Linked DNA regions of Oryzias latipes. The protein of the gene in region 3 interacts with the protein of the main gene of each other region in a pairwise test. Links are inferred from orthologs where the notes say so. Each region holds a gene or a part of one and is shown on either strand. Other genes may lie near its edges. The genes, in order: probable global transcription activator SNF2L2, nkapd1 and bend7.

The links.
Region 1: the proteins of bend7 (region 3) and probable global transcription activator SNF2L2 interact in binary tests that used the Homo sapiens proteins (3 or more experiments, as listed by UniProt). The two-hybrid records come from large-scale screens. The link is inferred for Oryzias latipes from reciprocal best matches to the Homo sapiens genes BEND7 and SMARCA2.
Region 2: the proteins of bend7 (region 3) and nkapd1 interact in binary tests that used the Homo sapiens proteins (3 or more experiments, as listed by UniProt). The two-hybrid records come from large-scale screens. The link is inferred for Oryzias latipes from reciprocal best matches to the Homo sapiens genes BEND7 and NKAPD1.

Annotation. Positions count from the first base shown.
Region 1 is NC_019867.2:1,061,457-1,065,110, reverse strand, and holds part of probable global transcription activator SNF2L2, read left to right. Parts: intron 1-863; coding exon 864-993; intron 994-1,068; coding exon 1,069-1,452; intron 1,453-2,574; coding exon 2,575-2,673; intron 2,674-2,764; coding exon 2,765-3,011; intron 3,012-3,360; coding exon 3,361-3,487; intron 3,488-3,654. UniProt on the Homo sapiens protein: ATPase involved in transcriptional activation and repression of select genes by chromatin remodeling (alteration of DNA-nucleosome topology).
Region 2 is NC_019871.2:11,390,336-11,394,089, reverse strand, and holds the start of nkapd1 (uncharacterized protein NKAPD1), read left to right. Parts: upstream 1-1,013; 5' UTR 1,014-1,121; intron 1,122-1,425; 5' UTR 1,426-1,433; coding exon 1,434-1,502; intron 1,503-3,669; coding exon 3,670-3,754.
Region 3 is NC_019864.2:20,635,975-20,639,728, reverse strand, and holds the start of bend7 (BEN domain-containing protein 7), read left to right. Parts: upstream 1-1,036; 5' UTR 1,037-1,309; coding exon 1,310-1,373; intron 1,374-1,737; coding exon 1,738-1,803; intron 1,804-1,881; coding exon 1,882-2,235; intron 2,236-2,409; coding exon 2,410-2,526; intron 2,527-2,602; coding exon 2,603-2,955; intron 2,956-3,394; coding exon 3,395-3,502; intron 3,503-3,754.

The DNA.
Region 1 (3,654 bases), on a different chromosome or scaffold from region 3:
CTGACGCGCCGTGCCAGACGCTCAAATCTGCAGGACCCATGAAGGAGGAACACGGGCTCCTAATGTATGTTATAAAGTCTGCCACGGTACAGGCTACTGATCTGGAAAAAAAACTCTTCATGTTGAGCAATACTCCAATGTTCTTCAGTAAATGTTTGACAAAGCATCAGAAATGTTCCAGAAGGGTTTGGATGAGGAAGGATCGGTGACGGACATCCTTCACCCGCGGGGCTGGAGGTGGTTCTCAGAATTCTGCGGATTCGTGGCTGTCTCTGGTCCCTGACCCCCACCAATATGGGGGGAGTACTGGCTCCACAAACGGTTATTTGTTCTGAATGTGTTGTTAGGCTGAGACTGTCCGCCTGCTGTTGAAGAACCATCAGTTTAGTTCAAACAATAGTTTTTCCCAAATCAGTCAAGTCGTTTAGAGTTTTGTGAAATGACGCCTCTGTTACTCAAAGTCATGCGTGAGTTTTTTTTCCAACACGTCACATTCCAGATGTGTAAAAGTGTAAAGCTGTAAAACCTGCTAAAAATGTCCAGATGTTGCAGCTGACAATCCCACCGTGTTTGGCTGACTCTGTCTGAGTGATTTATGTCTAGTTTGATTTTCAAATCACAGCCTGAAGAAGGTTTACTGATCGTGTCAAACGTTTGGGTCTAAATGAATGAATGATTTTAGCATAATTTACCCAAAATGTTTGTGTTTTGATCCACAATCAAAGAAAAGGGATTTCATCTTCCACAAATGTCTATAAAGGAAACATTTTTCCGGAAGAGCTTTGATCTTCTAACTCAACGTTCCCTATATGGCTACCAAGTCTTTAATATTGTATAATAACTGGGAATGTTTTCCTTTCCAGCCCATGGAGGCCATGACTGACAAGTCAATGACAGAAGCCATGCATTTTGGGCACATGAAGGGTGTGGGGATGAGATCGCTCCACAGCGGGATGGGTCCTCCTCAGAGCCCCATGGACCAGCACAGCCAAGGTAACGGGTCTGAACCGGACGCACCATGAGTCCCATCCATCCACCATGCTCCAACGTGTCACCATTCTCTTCAAGGTTACATGTCTCCACATCCTTCCCCCATGGGAGTCCACGAGCACGCCTCCAGCCCCATGCCAGGAGGTGGAGGTGGAGGTGGACCCACGCCGCCGCACATCCCTCCCTCCCAGTCAGGTCCCATGATGCCCATGGAAGGAGGCATGGCCGGCATGGGCCAGCAGGGCCGCGGACCCTCTGCCTTCAGCCCGGTCCAGCTGCAGCAGCTCAGAGCTCAGATTCTGGCCTACAAGATTCTGGCCCGCGGACAGCCGCTGCCCGAAAACCTCCAGCTGGCCGTTCAAGGCAAAAGGAGCCTACCCACAATGCAACAGCAGCCACCGCAGCAGCCACCGCAGCAGCAGCAGCAGCAGGCGTCGAGTGTGAGCCCCTACAGACCTTCAGGTGAGGATGAGGAAACAAAGGTCAAACAAAAACAATGTAAAGACACCATCGTTAAAAAACAGGCATAAAAAGGAAAACTTACCAAGAAAAAGCCTGAACTGAAAGAGGGAACATACAGTGGAGGTATGGGGGGGCGGGGCTGTGGAACACCTTGTAGGTAAAAAGCAGGACGTTTCCCACCTCCATGAGCACAGTTCTGGGGTTTACAGCTGTAGAGAAGGTGTGGAGGGACTCCTGTGGAACGATCCCGGAGCGCTGGCAGGTCCTCCTGGTGACGAGGTGGAAATCCCACGGAGCTAAAACTGGAGCTCAAAACCTTTTACTGTGATTTGGTTTGTCCAGGTTTAAAAAAGTTCAAACGTTAAAGATGTCATCATGAAGAGCAGCAGCAGAATCTGAAGGAAAAAACCATCATTTATGGCAGGAGTTCTGTTCTAAACCCGCAAAAGATTTGAGGCAGTAAAACGTCTCACAACAGACGTTCTACACTTTTCCCAGACAGACACCAACATTTTCACACTTTTGTTTTAAAACTTTTATAGAAAAATACGTCCAGGATAATAGAATGAAAGCAAAGCTCTGATCCCAGTCAAAGATTTATGTTTGGTAAACTGAACATATTTCACGGCGCAGAGAAGCTTGATTGACAGCCCAGAACGCAGTGCGCTGTTAAAAACACAACAACAAAAACAGAATTGCTCTGAAAAAAGCAGAGAAACGGCAAAAAGTGAACCACAATATCACGAGGGAACTCTGTAATGTTTGCAGTCATCTTTTGGGTTTTACATCCAAACTAATGTGACGGGGATAAAAAGTCTGCACATTCATAATTCTGATTATCAGTTTATTATTTATAGGATCCCCGTTAGCTGTGCTGAGGAGGCAGCTGCTCTTCCTCATAAAAATCCCCAATGCTATTTAATGTGAATCCCAAAAATACACGATGTAAACACGTAAAATTCACATTTTAAATATCATAAATAGAGTTCCTGGACCCTGAACCGTTGTGCTTTAAATCAGTCACACCATCAAAATCTGGATCTGAAAATATGCGGCTCCAAAATGTGACCTCAGTATTTTCATGGAAAAACCAAACTCATCCAACATCTGCTTCTTCCAAAGGGATGCCAATGGCGCAGATGGGCGGCCCCCAGGCCAGCCCCTGCCCGGCGCCTGCCATGCAGGGAGCCAATCAGAGTGCAGCCAAGCCGTGGAGTGATGGTGAGTCTGCTTCCTGCCGGCCTCGGGTCTTAGCGGTGAAACATCTTCTGGCTAAGCAGGCTCAGAAAAGTTGAAGGTCTTTGTTTGACAGGTGGAGAAAATCAGGCCCACGTGCAGAAACACCTCACCCCCGTCTCCAGCGGGCGTCCCTCTCCCGCGCCGCCGCAGACCTCCGCTGTGCCTCCGGGGCCGGCACTGAGCGGCTCGGCAGCTGGACTCCCACCGGGCCAGCAGGTGTCTCCCATGCTGCAGATGCAGCAGAAGCAGAACCGCATCACTCCCATACAGAAGCCCCAGGGCTTGGACCCGATGGGGATCCTGCAGGAGAGGGAGTTCAGGTATGGATGCGCTCGCACACCTCCATGATGCTTCCTCAGTGTTTACAGTGGAGGTTGGTGACCATTTCCTCCAGGAACTCATTAAGTGTCATGCAAAGTGCATTCATGTCAAACGTTCTCAGTTTTCTGAGGTTGGGAGCGTTACTATGGAGGCTGTTTGATCCGTTTTCTCATTAAAGACGTGTGACGCGTGAGGCGCTTTATGTTGTTCATCAGACTCAAAGCTTTAGCTTCTTTTTCATGTCATAGTCACCATTTCAGCATTTCAGACTGGCTTTACTGTTTGACTTATTGTGTTTTAGTATCATTAGGGTTATTTTACCACATCTGTCTTTATACTGTTCTTCAGGCTGCAGGCTCGCATCGCCCACCGAATCCAGGAGCTGGAGAGTCTACCGGGGTCTCTGCCTCCTGACCTGAGGACCAAAGCCACTGTGGAGCTCAAAGCGCTCCGTCTGCTCAACTTTCAGCGGCAGGTACGGCAAATATGTACCAAATATTTGCTATGGATGTTAACGTAAAGCAGAATGTCAAATCATCAGAAGCCGGCTGACGCTGAAACAGTGAAACTATCAAACAGGCTGACGCTGAAACAGTGTAACTATGAAACAGGCTGACGCTGAAACAGTTTAACTATGAAACA
Region 2 (3,754 bases), on a different chromosome or scaffold from region 3:
CTCAAAGGCTAAGAAATACGCAGAGCAACTCATGTAATGGTGCAATATTTTTGAAAAGTGGATTTAGAATGGTTAAAGAGCATGATTGGAACAAACCACAACAATGCTCAGGCTTACAGTGATGCTAAATGTGTTCTGTTTTGTAGCGTGTGTCTGCAAATGTAAAAATTGTATGCCAAGATGAAACTCAACACAGTAGACCAATAAATATTGCAAAATGTAATGAGTTTTCTCAAGCTTATTCGCTGGTCTGGAAATTTATAAGATAAATTATTATTATAAGATAAATTAATTTCCCCATTGTGGGATTAATAACGTCATCTAAAAACAGAGAAGTAGTCCTTTTTTTTTCATTTTACATGTTTAATAGTTCTTGATTTTAGAAGAGATACTTTTTTAAAACAATATTTAATGTGTAATATCACTTCAATCCTCCTTTGGGTTGTACCTTATTGCAAAAGCAGTTTGGGTTTTATAGAAAATAATGAGTTTTGCCATATGGAATAAGGAAATTGTTTATTTTTTTAATTAGGAAGAAACAGGACTCCCAGACACTGCAGCAAACAGGACGGAGGAGGACACAGTGATGACACTTAATTGAAAAGAAAAAGACTGTTTTGTTAAACAATCTTTGGCGGATGAAGAATTGAAATTTCTGCTGCTAAAAATATAATGTTGAAGGGATGTCAGGCAAAAATCTGCACGTCACCAAAACTTCAATTAGCACCGGCTATACAGTTTTTATGCAAGTCTTCGTTTTGTTAGTTAGTGTGACAGATATTGTCCTTTATTGGATGTAAACAAATACGAACATATTTATTTACAGTTAGATAACGTACTGGAGTATTTTTTAATTCATTTATGAAAAATACATTGATAATCCCCAAGGATTAATACTACTATTACTACAACAAATATTATTATATTAACTTTTTTTTTCCCTTTCAATTGACTTGATACAATTTTACCGTGGGTCAAATCTTACAGTTTTATTGGTTACCAATTTGATTGATGTGTTCCTACGCCAATCATCATTCAGGCTCTCTTTCTTTTCTTTTTTTCCCCCAGTGACGTAAAATAAGCGACAGGCAAACGACTTTTCAGCGGAAGTACTAACAGAGGTTAGCCAAAACGATTTATTCCTCTTAACTTTATAGTTTCACGAGTAAATTATTTAACGTACGTTTACGATACGATGTTACAGATTTTTAATTATGTAACTGTTGGCTAAATTTAGCTATATTGATCATAAACAGATTTTGGGTTGAGAGGAAAGCCGACAGTAGCTAGCCAACTAAGCTAGCAGGGGAGACTTTCGAGGAGCTATGGTTTCATGGTTGCGTCGCGTTGAAATCATTTTTTATTTATTCTCGTACTTCTCCTGCCTGCACTGTACTTAGTGTTTCATATGGGTCCTTATTTCAGGTGTCATCATGTCAAAGCAGCCGGCGGGGAAGACCTTGCTGCGGAATGTCATCCGGCATACAGATGCACACAACAAGGTATGTTCGTTGTTGTGTGTGTTTGAACAAGAAGCTAAATCCCCAAAACAGCCAAAAATGTTTGGTTTTGCGCCTAAGCCAAACATTTTTGACTGTTTACTTAGAAATTCGGTAGCTTTCGAATTATTAGCCTATTTTAGATTGATCGCCAAGCTGCTTAGGTAAATTTTCTGGAACAAAATAATTAGACTTTTATCATATCGTGTCACAGAGATGACTTAAAATTAATAAATTAAAAACAATAATTAAAAAGAAAAACAATTTAGTACCGTGTCGTTTAAATTATTCACTGTGCATTTTATTTGAGATTATATGAAGCACAGAACAGTGGCAAAAGAAAAAATAAAACGAATTCAAAAATACAATTTCTCTCCAAAAAGCTAGTCCGTTTTTGTGACCTCACTGTGTGGAAGGATACATAGTAGCTCTACGTTTTTGATTTGTCATGATTCCTTTATCATTTACAGATTCTTCCACACATAATGCTCTAACAGGGCAGGACAAATATAGAGACTCCTAACATTTACTAACTACCATATCTGAATGTGTGTAATATAGTATACTCGCCACTGTAATGTAATTTTAACAATGGATAAAGATATGAGGATTTTCTGTTTCATTTTATTAACTTGCGACACACATTTGTAATTATTGTTATTATTGTTTTTTTGTATTTGTATTTAAAAACCATGCTTACCCTTAGATACATCATCACTATGCTCACAAAAAACTATTTTTTCAGCGTTTACAAGTCTTGGCAGATTTGATCATTTTGAGCTTTAATAAATAAAGTTCATTTCTGTGCCATTGAGTAAAAACTTTCAACTCTCAAAGATCTACAGAACAAGGACTAAACACCAAAAAAGTTAGCAACTGAAAAAATAGAGAAACAACTAAGAAAAGTTTGACATATTGTTGCAGAATATGGTATATCACTGTGTTGAAGTTTCAGTTTATTACAGTGTGATCTGCTGTTTATGGGCTGTAACTTCTCTGGTCTCTAAAGTCATGTTGACTCTTTTTGTGTGTGAATATCCTGTATCAGCAATATATATATAGACATATATATATATATAGACATAGACTTGTATATATATTTTTTTTGTTCAATGCTAAAGTTTTCACAAAGTGATTTAGTGACATAACAAATCCCACAAGTTCTTTTGAAAGTCTGACCTGGCAACAAAAGTATGTTAATACTGTAGGTAGAAAATGTCAAATCTTGGGAGTTTCTCAGACCGACCTTCAGATGGAAACATTAGAATTACACCAACTTTCAGTCAATGGAGAAAAACTGGAGATTAAAAAAAAAAGAAGGCTAAAAACTAGAGCTGCACGATATGAGGAAAACTCTGGATTTTAGTGATCAATATTGCGATGACGATATAACTTGTGGTACATGAACAAAAAGCAAAACAACCAAATACATCATTTCCATTTCACTGAAACAGTAGTTTTATATTATATAAATATTATACATTAAATTATACTCCAAATGACCCTCATCTATATAGGAGATGAACATCTAACTTCAAAGGGCTTCATCCGATTGGTCAACATCGTGATGAAGTGCATCTGATTGGTCAAATGCATAAATGGAATTAGTTGATTCGATAAATTCTTCAAGCTTAAGCTTAAGCCATAAGATTTTTTTGGCACATTTAAGGTAAACATTTATTGCAATTTTCTCCGTCTTTTGCGATATGATATCACGATAACAATAAATTTGTGATATTGTGCAGGCCTACTAAAAACTGTTCTTTGAGCTGGCTGTGGCGGTTTAGATTTACTTACATATGGGAGGATGGCTCACTGCTTTCCAGGTGCTTCTCTTTTCAGCCCCACATTTTGAAAAACGGCAGTTGTTTAAAAGCCTCATTTCTTCCATTTTTTTGGCCTGAAGACTGCACTGTCCTGTTGGATCTTTCTATTGTACTGCTGATGGGTGTTGACGGAAAAATCAATGCTATATCAGGTTCTTCAATAAATTGAAACAAATCGCTTTGGGGTTTTCTCTTTTTCTTTCCTCTGAAGTGTGTAGTCTATCCACTCCATTAATGAAAAGCACACAAAAAAATAAAAGTGTTGCCACGAGACTGTCTTCGTGTAATTGTGTGAATCCAGGTGTCACATTAGGTGTTTCTGCACACATCATTGCTTCCTGCAGATCCAGGAGGAGATGGAGATGTGGAAAATGCGAGGCTGGGAGATGCAGATGTCCCATCCGAAACAGCTGCCGTTCAAAGACAACG
Region 3 (3,754 bases):
AAAGCTTTGAGAGAGAGAACTTTTAAATTATTCCTTAACAAAATTCCGTTTTTGTCCTAGCAAACCACAGCTTGTTTGTGTTAAACTTTGTCACAAAAATTGGCGAAACGTTACGGGTTCCGTAAGATAATGGCAACTATTTAGAACTATTTTTTAGTCAATCTCATTTATTTAAATGTTAAGCCAGTTTAGTTCATCTTTTGGAGACCGGGGGGGGGCAATTTTACTTCATCTGTGTTGAAGTAACTTGATTGAAAGTAACTTAGAAATCGTGCAATCCGAATTAATAAAACTGTTTATTTTTGTCAAACTTTATACACAATCTATCTCGTTTAATGGTGGTCGTTCTTGTCCATTCCTGCTTTGATATTGTGTTGCAGACCCTGCTAGATCGGCTAGTAAGTCACGTGGGTTTTTGCTGCTTCTATTTGTTTCATTGTGTCCATCATTTGTCCATAAGGTAAAAAGAAGTGTTGGCTGATATGAACATCCCATTTACAATAACTCAAAAAGCCTGAAAGCCCAAATTAAAACAAATAATTTTAAGTTCTAAATGATGAATTCAGAAAACTATACTGCGAACCAAAGCCAAAGAAATCTCTTTATTATTTGAGCTACTTTTCTAAAAGGTTTTTTTTTTGTCAAATTGAAATCCTGTGGTATGTCAGCTGCTTTAAAACAGAGTAAGTGTATTCATTCATTCACTTTTTCAAAAGTTTCATTTTTCTAATCAAATCAAGCTTTACTTATAGCACTTTACAACTCGGGTCACCCAAAGTGCTTTTATTGTTTGGCATTATTTATTACGTTTATCTATATTTTTGAGTTTTCTGCTCCAGCTGTCGAATGTCCGGCTTTCAGTTGTCTTTTTTTTATCATTGCCGTTAAACCAAATAGAGGATATTTAATTGGGGAAGAGAAATGAAAAACAACGATTTGGGTTTAGACCGCCTTTATTTAAACGCTGGCTTTTGTCTGAAGTGACTGGCAAATATGTGCCGACCTTTTTAATGAAACATGCCATCAGGTGGCGCAAAGGGATATAACCAATTCTTATATTAAAATCATCAATTCATTTACATGACCAGAGGGAGGGTCGGGGTAGTAATATCGGGGGAAATGGATCCACTCAACAATATTCTTCTGTTTTTCGGGCTGGGAATCTGCTGGTGAAAGGATCGGACGCGCTGACTGGGAGGAAATTTAACTGTTTAATAAGGCAAACGGACAGACGGTGATTCCACTCAGGGTTTCGGTCCCTGGCTGGTCGTTCTGAACGGCGTATTTCAGCTCGACCTGCGGGAAAAAGATGGAATTTGGAGAAAGAAGGAGAAGGAGGAAGTCGCAAAGCTTCAAACTGGTCGCAGATGAAGGTAAGCTGCTGAATGGATGCAGGAGACGCGTGTCTGGCTGGCTGGCTGTGTGTCTGCTGCTGTGCGCGTAAACAAAAGCGGCGGCCACGGCATGTCTGGGTTTGGAGGGTTCAAATCGTCATCCCCAGCTTCTATGTGGATCGTGACAATGAAGGATGTTCTGATCTGTTGCACATCCAGAACAGGAGCGCAGGATGTTCACCTTTTTTAAAGCTGCAGCCTCTCTCGAAAACTACTTCATACAACCTACAGGTGGTGGTTTCTGCATGAGATGGGAAGGGGGGTGGGGGTGTCTGCTTTTGTTGACAGTCATTGCGGCTTTTTTACACAAGTTTACAGCAACAACCTTTTGTTTTACTTGCAGACCATGATTCTTCACTGAATTCCAGCAGCAAGGATGGCAAAACTAAAGATGCAGTTGTGTCTGATGGTATGTGTCAGATTGAGCATTGATTTGTCACTTTACCATTTCTATACCTGCGCCCACACCCATTTTTCCTCAATGCAGTTTGGCTGGAAGATGAAGGTGTTGAGATCAAGAGGCAAATCACAGGAATGATGAGGCTTCTGAGGGACAAGACTGGCCGAGTGTATCAGCGTGTTGTTGCAGATTGTGACGGCACAACAAATGATTCCCAGGATAAGCATCTGAGTTGGATTCACCAGCCTCCATTCCTGTCTGTGGTACCAGATGACCATCAAGGCAACAGCTGGCTGTCAACCGGACACTCAGAGCTTTCTGTGCCATCCCCATCTATACCTGTCCCCAATGGTCCAAACTATGGCCAGTACAGCACTCGCTCCAGATCCCTCAGGATTTTCAACAAAACCAAGGATGTGAGCAAAACCAATGAACAAAATGGTAAAACAATAAACAATCTGTGAAAAATCTATTAAAATTGACATTAAAGTAGGGTTTTTTTTACATTTAGTAAATCAAAGACAGCAATTCAACCATTTTTTTCCAGTCAGAAAGTCCACTTTGCCAATGTTTGCATGGATCGTATCACTCATTAAAGCACCTCTGCATTTCCAGATGTGGCGCAACCTGCAGTCCAAGAAAGCTCGTGCTGTATGTGTAACTGTACAGGCACTCTAGAGGCTATATTGCAGGAATTGCGTGCCATGAGGAGGCTGATGCAGACTCAGAAAGGTCAGAAAATGTGGCCAAATTGCACTGGGATAAACATAAAGAAGGCATAACAGGTTTTTGTCTTTCATTTATTTAGCATCCTTTGGAAAGCATCAACAAGCAACACCAGTATGCCAACCTCGCTTTAGCCTGGGCTCCACTCCGCGCAGTCTTCACAGAAAAAGAAAGTCTTACTACAGGGTGGCGCCTCTTACTGTCTCCAGCAGTAAAAAAGTTGTTCTTTCTCCTGTGGAAAGTTCAGCGCATCAAGCTGCACCACCAGCAGAATCTGCAAAGAGGGAAAAATGTGAGAAACTGGACTCGTCAGTGCTGAACATGCATCCCATTTCCCCTGATATTTCGGCACAGTCACAACAGAATGATTCAGGAATAGTGAGCAAAATTCATAATCCTACCTTAAGCCAACCAAAAGAAACTCAAGCATCAGAGGTAAAACCTTAATTTGTTTCTCTGTAAAGTTTGTTGCAAAATTTCTTAGAAAGTTTAGACTTTGTTTAGTTTGTTGATTTAAGTTTAATGTTTTGCTAAATTTATCAAAAAACAAAAATGTAAAGTAATTGATATAAATTGTTGAACAGAATAAGAAAGTTGCTTTTTTTAGAACTTTTTACAAGACACACAAGATCTAAAATTTCTGTAAAGACTAAACAGACTCCAAGCAAAATGTCATGAGACTGGCTTCTTTCTGAGTTACACCTGGTGTAAACTTTATCTTTATTGAGCCATGTAAAATGACCTTAATGTATTGTTGTACAATGAAGTCTCAACCTTTTTGACTTCAGTTCTTAAACCCAGTTCTGAATTTCAGTTGTTCATTTCTGTTTAATTTTTGGAACGACTAATTGTTTTGTTCTGTATTCCATCACAGAGTGAGGTCCGTCTTGCAGAGGAATACGACGTGTTTATATCTAAAGCTCAGCTAGATTCCATCTTGGTCAACTACACCCGCTCTGGCAGTCTCCTATTTCGCAAACTGGTATGCATTCAGCTAATTTGGAGCCCTCTTTTTTTTGTGTTATTTTTAGTTTCTATTTTTTAAATGACTATTTCCATTTTTTGATCCCAAAATATCTGGCAATTTTCTGTTGAAAGGCTCACTTTGATCATCTTTTGAGCTGTTTAAAAGCATTCTCAATGGTCTTTTAATTATGATTATGCAGTTTTTAGCCTTAATGCAAAATACCTGCGTTGTTTTCGTGGAAATTATTTTTGCAGAGCGGCAGTAGTT